Drosophila melanogaster: one gene and its partner. The protein of the gene in region 2 interacts with the protein of the main gene of each other region in a biochemical or structural test. Each region holds a gene or a part of one and is shown on either strand. Other genes may lie near its edges.

Region 1 (5,283 bases), on a different chromosome or scaffold from region 2:
CGGCGAGAAAATAGTGGCTGAAAAACAGGCTGAGGAGCAGGACTCGCGGACCAAAAACGTCAACTTGTCCGGCACTTGTCGGCGATTCCCTGCAAGAAGGACATCGGGTGAGGATGGAGCATTCTTTATGACTTTTGCAAACGCACGCTGAAACTGACCAGCCCCGCCTCCATTCCTGTTCCTATTCAAACTGCCGGCCAAGCTGGAGCTGAATGTGGAGCCCTTGCAATTATAATTCGTTGATGCAGGAGCAGCCGGAAACCGGGAAAATGCAGTTTTTCATCTGGCTCACTCGGGGCAACGACAGTGGGGCTATGGAAAATCGGGAAGGTTAGTTGGAGACGCAGTCTGCCGGCTGGCGCATTATCTATGCATTATTGTGGCTCGACCAGTGGCCATCTGCCGTCTCAGCAGAAAATAATATTATATTAAATTATGTATACGTTTTTCTTGGCAATTTTATAGAGTGAACATTCCTCTTATTAGCGTGTAATACGAACGTCACAGAAGAAACTGCCGTTCGAACAATAAATTTTGAAGCATTAAGTTCTATCAGATAAAAATCCATTTAAAATTAAATAGAAATAGAAAAAAATGTATTGTTTTTATTTAATGCTTGGCTATTTGCAAATTCCATTTCAATGAATTTCCCCAAGCAGGACGAGCTGCATAAAAAATGCCATTATTATTCATTCATTACACCAAACCAACCAAAATGAATACGTCGCATTCGTGTTTAATTTTTTTCACTCATTTAATGAATTATTAAATGCAACATGCATAATTCCCGTTTCCGCGCTTAAGCGTGGACAATGCGAAATGGAAAAGCCCACGTCAAAGCCCCTACCTAAAGGACCTCGTCGGGAAATCCTTCGAATGGCACGTAGGCAAATATCCCTCTCCCCACACGCGTCCCATTCCCATGCATTGGAATGCAAATATTTTCCACTATAATTGAGGCGCGACAAATGCGAATTGTTAGCGAATGTGATTGCGTTGCCTTAGTCGATTTTCGATGGGTCGTTGGAGGAGGAGTTCCCTCAAAAGAGGTAAAACAACACGTATTTAATGCACATGCAATTCAATCATTCAATTTAGCATGCCAACAAGAATGATGTGTTCAATTTAACCAAACACCAACGAGGACATGGAGTTTAATCAAAATGGTTTTTAAATTGATAAAAGTAAAAAAAACGACCCATAATTGCAGTGGTTCTTCAAAAAATTAATGCATGCACGTAAAACAATTACAGCGCAGTAAATTGCAACTGCAGACAGCAGCAGCAGCGAAATCGAACAATTGTCGCACATTAACCACAGATGCGTTTGGATCGTCAGGGATGGGCAGGAATTATAAGTGGGTGGTATGGGTGGTGTCGACTAAGTGATTGCATTCAGTGGGCCACGGATGAATGCAAATTTCGGTTCACTTGTTTCACATCGATAAGGAAATTTTCTGGTTAATATATCCTCCTTCTTCTGCATCATAATCCTATTATTCGTTAAGTAAGATCGTGCATTTAATGTGTGCGAAAGAAAAGCCATTAACGTTGACCATTAAACGTTATATATTTTCCTCATCAGTAATATGACCAACTTTTGTGTGTTAACACAAACATCCCGGATGTTTGGTTAAATGGCCCATCACAAAGTTTGAATATTCCATTCTCTTAATAGAGAACTTTTTTTAATGGAGTCATTACGTCCACTTTGCTAGAAGCTTCTTTTCTGAACTATACGAGTAGCATTACTATCATTACTAGCATGACATAATTTCGAAAAATCCCATTACTTTACCAAATTATAAAATTGCTCACGACATTCGATGACCATAGCATTTCTGTGAAATTTATCGCATTAATAACTACGATGAAAGGGACTCTCATTCCAGATACTTAAAACCACTCAAGTGGAAAACAGCCACAAAAAATATCTTGTACAAGTTGATATAAAAGTGTTTATGGCGTAGGTCAATGATGAGATTAAATTCTGAATATAAAATGAGAATAATGTTATTATTTTTGTGTAATCGCATTTTACGTTTTTACGTTATTTTAAAGTACACTATAGAATATTGGATGATTATTAAATATTCATGATTTCATCAAGTTTTCTTTATATTACAAAACATTTGGACCAAAAACTTTTGCAGATTATTATTCGCACCAGTTATCATTTTTAAAAGCATATTCACAGAAAATATGTAACCCCTTTAATGATCAGAAGCTTAAAGGTCACGATCTAGTCTGACATTTTCACACCAACATTGCCAAAACATTCACCAGCCCGAGGCACTTTTCCCGGAATTTTCTTGTTAGCTTCAAGCTTTGCCTTTTATTGCCAGCAATTCTATTGTCTTTTATGTCAACTCACCAGACACAAGAGTTGATGAATTTTGTCGCTTCGCAGGATGGGCGACTTTAGAAGGCACTCTCGCACAGACACAGGCACACTCACACTCACGCAGCAATCGAGCCTGAATGTGTTTGTTGTTGTTGTGTTGTATTGATGTACGTATTGGTGTGTTTATTTCGATGCGCGCCAAAAAGTATGCAATGCGAACTGTGAGTCTTGTGTTGCGGGTCTGCGTTTCGGTTTCCGACTGACGATGGCCTGATGGCTGGTGGCTTGATGTCTGATGGCTGGTAATGTGATTAGTTGGCCCGTCTATCGATGCTAGTGCGCTACTGTGTGCGAGTATATTTTAATTTAATTATGTCGCTCTCGTTTCAATTACGAAAACCGCTCGCAGCGAAGACACGCACTAATAAACAAAGGCCAGCAATAACAGAATAACGAAAAAGTAAGCGACGGCTGGTATCGCTGCCGAGGGAAAACTGAAGGAAAATGTGTCGAATGAGTGGTACCAAGACCAAGACCAACCAGCGAATGTGTTCTGCCTCTCCCTCTCCGCTCTCGCTTTCTCACTCTTTGTCCGGCTATTAGCTGCTCTCTGGCTTTTCCGCTGATGAAAGTGCTGGCAATCGAATGCAACTGCCTCCCACAAGCGACTGAATGCGTTGCATATGCCAAGGCGCACGTTGAGTCCACGAGGAACGTGTGAAAGTGGAACGCGCCAGACTGGAGTAAATTTTGAGTGAGTACAAAGTGCACTTTCGAGTGCCCGGGAACGAGTGGAATTGTGCAACACCTGTGCAAAGGGGATTGTAAATGGGGTGGCCAGCACTATTCTTTCTTTATCGCCGGAAAAACGGGCAGTCGAAATTTTAATTGGGTTTGTCCAACTTACGGCACACAATTCAATTGAACCGCTCCCCCACTCGGGGCTCATTAACCTGGAGGGTTGGAACTATATCGGTGGGACATAAACTCGTTACGATTGCCTTGGTTTTTCGTAGGGTAGTTGCTGTTCTAGAACTTCCCTAGGGTTCATTTTTTTACGCACATGTTGTTTCATTTTCTCCGCTTTTTATGAGTTTCTAAGCTAACATCAATAAACTAAAACGTAGTGGTGGTATTCCAATTTCAATACGTGCTAGCTGTTCTAATTAAAAACGTAAAAATGCTGAAAAGTCAAAGCAACTTTAATATTATAAAGCATGAAGGTAAAATATCAATATAAATTATAGTAATACGGCTGCAATGGGGCTTATAAGGTATATTGGATAGCAATCAATACAATGGTGGATCAATGCATGGGAGCTTCCATTAATGCCGTATCAGAGTTCAACATAATTATAATTTGTGTCCCTCGTGGCACGTTTACATTAGCAGGGCATCTGGGCACCATCAACAGCTGACACAGAAACACTTTTACTGGCTGCACTTTGTAAAATGGATCTCTCGGCGGCATTACCTGAAAGCGCTCCCAAAAGATGCCATTCTCGGTCCGTCTACTGTCATCCGGCATGGAGATGATGACGCAGCTTAAGGGCGGCTGTACACCACCAGCTCCACAGTCAACCTCACCCCGCAATCCCGGCCAGATTTCCCCTGACAATGACTGGCACTCGTTCACGGACTCCGGGGCTGACTTCTCCGCCGCCAGCAGGTGTTTCCATTAACATCGGGACAATAAAGGCAGCGCACGCACTGCAATATGCAACAGTTGCAGACACGCAGGAAAAGCGTTGGAAATGGGAAATATGGCTGGCTGTGGGTGGTAGGTGGTGGGTGTTGGGTGCTTAAACGCACATTTGTAAGTAGTTGTGTAATCTATCCATGAACGTCGCTTCCGCTTTGCATTTTATATGCTCAACGCATCGTTTGGCCGGCGCAAATTGAGTTTCGTTGTCGTTGCTGCTGCTGAAATATCTGCTCTCGGATGGATAGATGGATGGATGGATAGATAGATGTCTGGATGAATGCCTCGGATATATCCCTTTTCCCCACAGCCATCGATTGGTAATGACGTTTGGTAGAGCCCACCCACCTTTAGGTTCATCCACTTTGTGGCTTAAGGCAAGAACGAGCATCAAGCCAATTAAAACTTCTAGCCCATCAACTTAATTAAGAAAAGGCCGAAATTATGCGACTATCATAAAAGTGCGGTGAACGTACGGTATCAAGAAAGATTTTCCTAATTGGTAAGCCATAAATTGTATTAATAAATTTTATTAGTTATACACCTGCTTAGAACGAATAACCTATGTATTTGCCAGACGTTGTAAACCGTTTTCAACGCTTTAATATGCTTTTAGATGCGGATTGTTATTTCATTATACAGATGTTAACATCCAGAAACAGTCCGTTTTAAGGATTGGGACTAGCAGGTCATACATAGTAACATGTTCAAGTATTGTTTTATATGCGTCATTCTAGCCTGGGCTTCTCGTGATGTTCTCGCTAACAAAACGGAAAATCCGCTGCTAATTGATCAAGTGGCTATAAATCAACAACAATGGTTCACATTCATTGCGCTGAAGGAAAGTGAAATGCAACAGAAAATAGTGAGGATCGAAAGATCGATAGAAGAACGATTGATGGCCATGCAAAGCAAGTTGGCATACGCACTGAACGAGCTGCAGACCATAATGGGCAACCAGAGTGTGGAGACTCTCGAGAAACTACGAATCTCGCACAGGATTAATCCGGCGCTTTTCCAGAGAATGGGCACAAGACGCTTCTACATTGAGAAGGAAAACAAACAAAATTGGTTTGGCGCCTCAAACACCTGTCGTCAATTGGGCGGTCACATTGCCACCATCAGGGATGAGCAGGAGTTTAATGAGATCTTCTCAAGAGCGCCGGCCGGCGTCTTTTGGATAGATATGAATGCTATGTTCAAGAACGGCCTTTTTGCATCATCACTCACCGGCAGAT
Region 2 (4,975 bases):
GAACTCGCTGCGCGACTTCCAGGAGTGGAAGGAGAAGTGCGACGTCAAGGGCCAGCCCTACTGCTCTCTGCCCAACGCGTGTCCCCTGACCACCAGGGAGCTGCCCGGCGAGACGCTGCGTCTCTTCACGTGCATGGAGTGCCCCAACAACTACCCCTGGATCCTGGATCCCACCGGCGATGGCTTCTCCGTTTAAGGCCGTCCCGTCGTCGCTATCCTTCCATCTACCCAAACAGGAGAACAACTCACAGTAGTTCCACCGAGAGTCTGATAAACTAAACAAACTGTACCAGCTGATCTATGCTGATCCATCTACAGAATACTCAAATCGTTGCATCCTGCTTCCTGTGTGATCCTAAGCTATCTCTATCCATCTGTTATTTATGCGACTTTCATTTCTATCTCTCTCTCTCTCTCTCTCTCTCTTTCTATCTATCTTCTATCTATCTGTATACTTTCGACTATTCTGTATCTGAACCTGTATCTTTATCTCTCTGTTGATTTCAAAAGTGATTTGTTTTAATTTACCTAGCTGCCTCTTTGACCAGCTCAAAGACAATTTCCACAAACAAACAAAACCAAGCGCCAAAAATCGCAGCAGCAAAAATATCTTCGTAATTGTATAAGTATTTTTTATAAGAAAAATATAAAAAATATATAAAAAAAATTAAGTTGCAATGGAGTTTTAATGGAGGAGACGTGTTACTTTGTTGTACTATTCATACATTTTATTTCGCACATCCAATTGGCACTTGCTTGTTATTGGAGGCTACTTTCTCTAGGTAATCAAGTATTCAATTATTATAATAATATTCATACGCACGTTTTGCTTGCAAATTAGCACTTAAAGGGGGCAAGCTATTCTTATGTTCGCAAGTTTAACAATAGATTTAATATTGTATTAATATTGTTAGTCTGCACTGAGAACTATCCTTATTACTTGCAGGCTATGGATATTACGTATACGTAATTTGCAAGCAAACTGCACGCATAAACGTTGTCTTCGCCTTTGGACGACACTGAACCCAGATCAGAGGCACAGATTAGAGCCACAGACGCACTTGCTGATCCCAACTGGTGGACGCCAGGCACATGCCATTGGGGCACAGGCTGATGCAAGTGATGCGGTTCTCGTGACCAGACAGTGTGCCTGTGGAGGAATGGAAAGTGACAAATGGTAAGTAGAAAGTAGAAAGTGGAGAAGAAGGTCAGCAAATCGATGTAAGTCAAGTGCCAGCCTGAGCATTAGCTTCGCCTCCATTTCCCCGTTCTTTATCACCGAATCCCCCAAGTGCAATGGATATCCAATACCCAATACGAACTACCCAATTCCCAATACCCACCCGTGTGCCGCTGCTTCATCGTGTCCCACGAGTGCACGTTGCCCTCAATGCCGCCGCACATGAGGTAGCGCCCGCTGGTCGATAGAGCTGGTGGGGACACAAAATCAGATTAAAAACCCGTCAAAAGTCAAGGCGACCGTGTTCCACCAAGACGGAGAACGAGAACCCACCGCACGACGTGAAGCCAGTGTTCTTCTGGGGCGGTTCATACTGGGCGATTTGCTGGTCCGCCCGCAGGTCGTACATGCGCGCCGTTTGGTCCTCCGAGCAGGAGGCGAACCCGAAGCCACTGGGATGGTACTGCAACCGATAATGATAATTGGGTGGGTGTAATGAATACATTTGTATTAAATTACAAGTACTAAATAGATTAGCTGCTTATAGTTGTTCTTGGTAATTAATATAAGCTATTATTATTAAAACATATATGTGTACTCACGCAGACGGATGACACGTCCATGTCGTGACCGAAGAACATCTGCTTGTGGCCCTCCTCTCGCACATCCCACAACTTGGCAGTTTTGTCCACAGAGCCAGTGATATAGGTCTTCATATCTGGCGAAAGCGATAAGCCAGCGATATCACCAGCGTGTCCATTGAAATCCATTGTCTTGACACCCTTCTCCAGATCCCAATGGCATCTGTTGGTCATAGGAAACTTAGATTTTACTCCAAAAAGTTAAGCAAAGCCCTACATTTTCATATCTCCCGAGCCGGTGATCAGATGGCCATCGTCGAGGAAGCGACAGGAGCTGAGGAATCCCTCGTAGCCCATCAGCTCTTTGACCATCTTGGCCACTCCGGAGGCATCGCGATTGTTCACATCGTAGACGGTGCACTGGTTGTCCATTCCTCCGCAGGCCACAAAGTTACCCGACGGCGAAAAGGCCACCGTCATTACCCAGGCGGATCTCAAGGGGATGATCTGCACCTTGTTGGCGGTCCAGGTGTCCCAGATGATCAGCTTGCCGTCCAGCGATCCAGTGACGCAGTGCCGCGAGTCCCCGGCAAAATGCACCGAATTCACCTTGTTGATGTGGCCCTTGAGAATCTTCTTGGATGAGAATCGAATCTTGGGCACATCCCCCATGTCGCCGCATTTATCGGCCAACGTGCAATCAGCCTTGCTTTTTTGGTCATCCTGAAAGCAAAATCATAGTAATGAATGACAATTTTTATTACAAGAATTTCCAGAATAAATGTTAGAGACGCATACAGTTTTCGATTAAGTTAAGTCACTTAATTTTTTCAAAATTGGAAATAATGTGTTCGACTATTATCGAGATGAAATATTATGGGAGTAGTTAGCACTGAAGTATGAAATCTGGCAAGATATTTAAAACCCAATCATATTATCATACATATTCCAAAAAGTTATATTAATATTTTTTTGTTAAAATTAAATTAAGGACAACGAATTTCTTTTTAAGCTGGCTATCGGTATTTTTAGAGTATTGTTATTTTATATGGGGAAAACTTTTTTATGTTACTTTTGTTGTTGCTATATTTATTATCTGATATTTTTAATTTACTTCGCTGTACGTTGAGTTTATTTAATTCACCTTAAACTTCTGTATCATGCCATTGATTTCGTCGTAGAGTTTTTGTGTTTCTGGGTCAATTTTCGGCATTATGGAGCATTAATTATATAAGGACGGCTGCAATATTTGCCAGAAGAAAGTTTCTAGTTTTGAACCGCACTGCGTCGCACAATAAACTGAGAGTTAAACAATTTGTTTTGCCTGAATGTTATGATGTTTTCTTTTTTCCTTAGCGGTAATGCAATTAGCTAATTGGATTAGCCGTTAAATACAAATGTATAGAAAGACGATTTTTTGGCGCCAAAATTTTAAAATCGAACATATGAGCGGGCTGCCAACTTATCGAAATGGTGTGCGCCTCTTGCAGCACTGGACTGTTCAGGGTGACCAGGTCGGTGGCCACCAGATGTTCCACTCAATGTAAAAAAGATGCTTGTATAGCCAAGGCGAAACTGGTCCCTCTAATTACACAACTCTCCAGGATCAGCTGTTCGGTCACCTCATTTTTGTTTTCCCTGTTTTTATTTATAACAATTGCCCATATTAACACACCGCCAGCATGGACACCAAGTAGGGAGCGCCATGGAGACGCTGCCATGTGCCAACCAGCTGCAGGAGCACCAGCAGCCGCAGCAGCAGCACGTGAATCTCAGCATAGATCCTAGTCTGGGTGAGAATGTGGTCAGCATTCCCAAGGAGCTGATCCTCATTTCGCTGGTCTCCCAGGAGCAGTCGCTATACAATCCCAAGCATCCCCACTACCGCAGCACCAAGATCAAGGACGAGAAATGGCTGGAGATTGGCAGCAATGTGGGTTGGTCCGGTAAGTGAACGTTTAAGTTTCCCCACCAAAAAGTTGGCACTTAATCCCATTTCCACAGACGTCCAGTGCAAGTCCAAGTGGAAGGCCATGAGGGATCAGTACTGCCGGGAGCTGAAGCGCGCCAAGGCCTGCTCAAAAGCAGTGAAGTGGAAGTATTTCAAAGAGCTGGATTTCCTGCGTCCATATGCGCTGGCAAGAAAGTAAGTAGCACGTGGAGCAATTCAAGTTGGCACCGCCATGCTGACTGCCAATGCAGACTATACAGCATATGGAGCTATCTATCACTAGTTCTGTTCTTCAGGCTTCCAAATGATATGTCCGTATTTAATTAAACCCACAATTCTTTAGTTACAGAGGGAGATCTGGTCAGACTTCCAATGGCGCCGTGGGTACGGTGACCCCCTTATCGCTGCCCATGACTACTTCCTTCAGCAGCAACAGCAGTAGCCAGAATCTAAACCTTTCCGGCAGCATTAAAATTGAGGATGCCAGTGCATCCACGCTGCTCGACAGCTGCAGCTTCAGTTCGCCTAGTTCAACTGATAAGAAGCCGGCAGCCACTTTCTTGGCAAGCCATATTGGAGCCGTGCTGCAGCAGCAGCAGCAGCAACAGCAGCATCAGCAACAAATGCACTCGCAGCCGGAAGCGAACTGGAACTATCTGACGGATGCGGGAGGCGGTGCTACTCCATCAATCATAGTGCAGTGTGGAACCGCCAACACAACCACGGTGGTAGACACTCTCTACAACGAAATAGTGGACTGCGTCAATGCCGCCAATCAGTCGAGCTCGGCAGCAACAATCACGTCTAATGTATCCACCACTTCAGCAGCGCACAATCAATCGACGAACGCCGAGGAGGAGGACGACGATCCCATACACACATTTCTCAACATGGAGAGCTACTTCGAAAAGGAACTGATCACGCTGATCCAGCAGGAAGACATGATCTACAACTACGGCAACGAGAACTATCGCAATGCCAAGCTCAAGATGGAGGTGTGGGAGGAAATCGCCAGAAAACTAAAGAAGTCGGGTATGTGGTTGATAAACTTAAACAGCCGAAGGATGAAGATGATTTTTCAAGCATTAACTATTTTAGTGAAACAGTGTCGACTGAAGTGGAAGGCTTTAAGGGACCAATACGCACGCGAACACAAGCGATTGAGGACACTGATGCACATAGATGCCACATCGCGTTGGAAGCACTATAATTCGCTCAGTTTCCTTCAGAAGTACATACAACAAAAGACGCTGTAAGAGAGGT

The links.
Region 1: the proteins of Gbeta76C (region 2) and Ggamma30A form a complex in vitro, tested with the Drosophila melanogaster proteins (one study listed by BioGRID).

The regions. Positions count from the first base shown.
Region 1 is NT_033779.5:9,254,297-9,259,579, reverse strand, and holds the start of Ggamma30A (G protein gamma subunit 30A), read right to left. Parts: upstream 3,018-5,283; 5' UTR 2,374-3,017; intron 313-2,373; exon of another isoform or gene 1-312. Other genes in the region: lectin-30A, read left to right, coding at 4,749-5,283. UniProt on the Drosophila melanogaster protein: Guanine nucleotide-binding proteins (G proteins) are involved as a modulator or transducer in various transmembrane signaling systems.
Region 2 is NT_037436.4:19,685,727-19,690,701, reverse strand, and holds Gbeta76C (G protein beta subunit 76C), read right to left. Parts: upstream 3,066-4,975; 5' UTR 2,975-3,065; coding exon 2,906-2,974; intron 2,485-2,905; coding exon 2,039-2,484; intron 1,985-2,038; coding exon 1,783-1,984; intron 1,644-1,782; coding exon 1,514-1,643; intron 1,431-1,513; coding exon 1,344-1,430; intron 1,151-1,343; coding exon 1,044-1,150; 3' UTR 710-1,043; downstream 1-709. Other genes in the region: verm (vermiform), read left to right, coding at 1-196; CG8765 (uncharacterized protein), read left to right, coding at 3,467-3,707, 3,766-3,907, 4,056-4,744, 4,811-4,964. UniProt on the Drosophila melanogaster protein: Guanine nucleotide-binding proteins (G proteins) are involved as a modulator or transducer in various transmembrane signaling systems.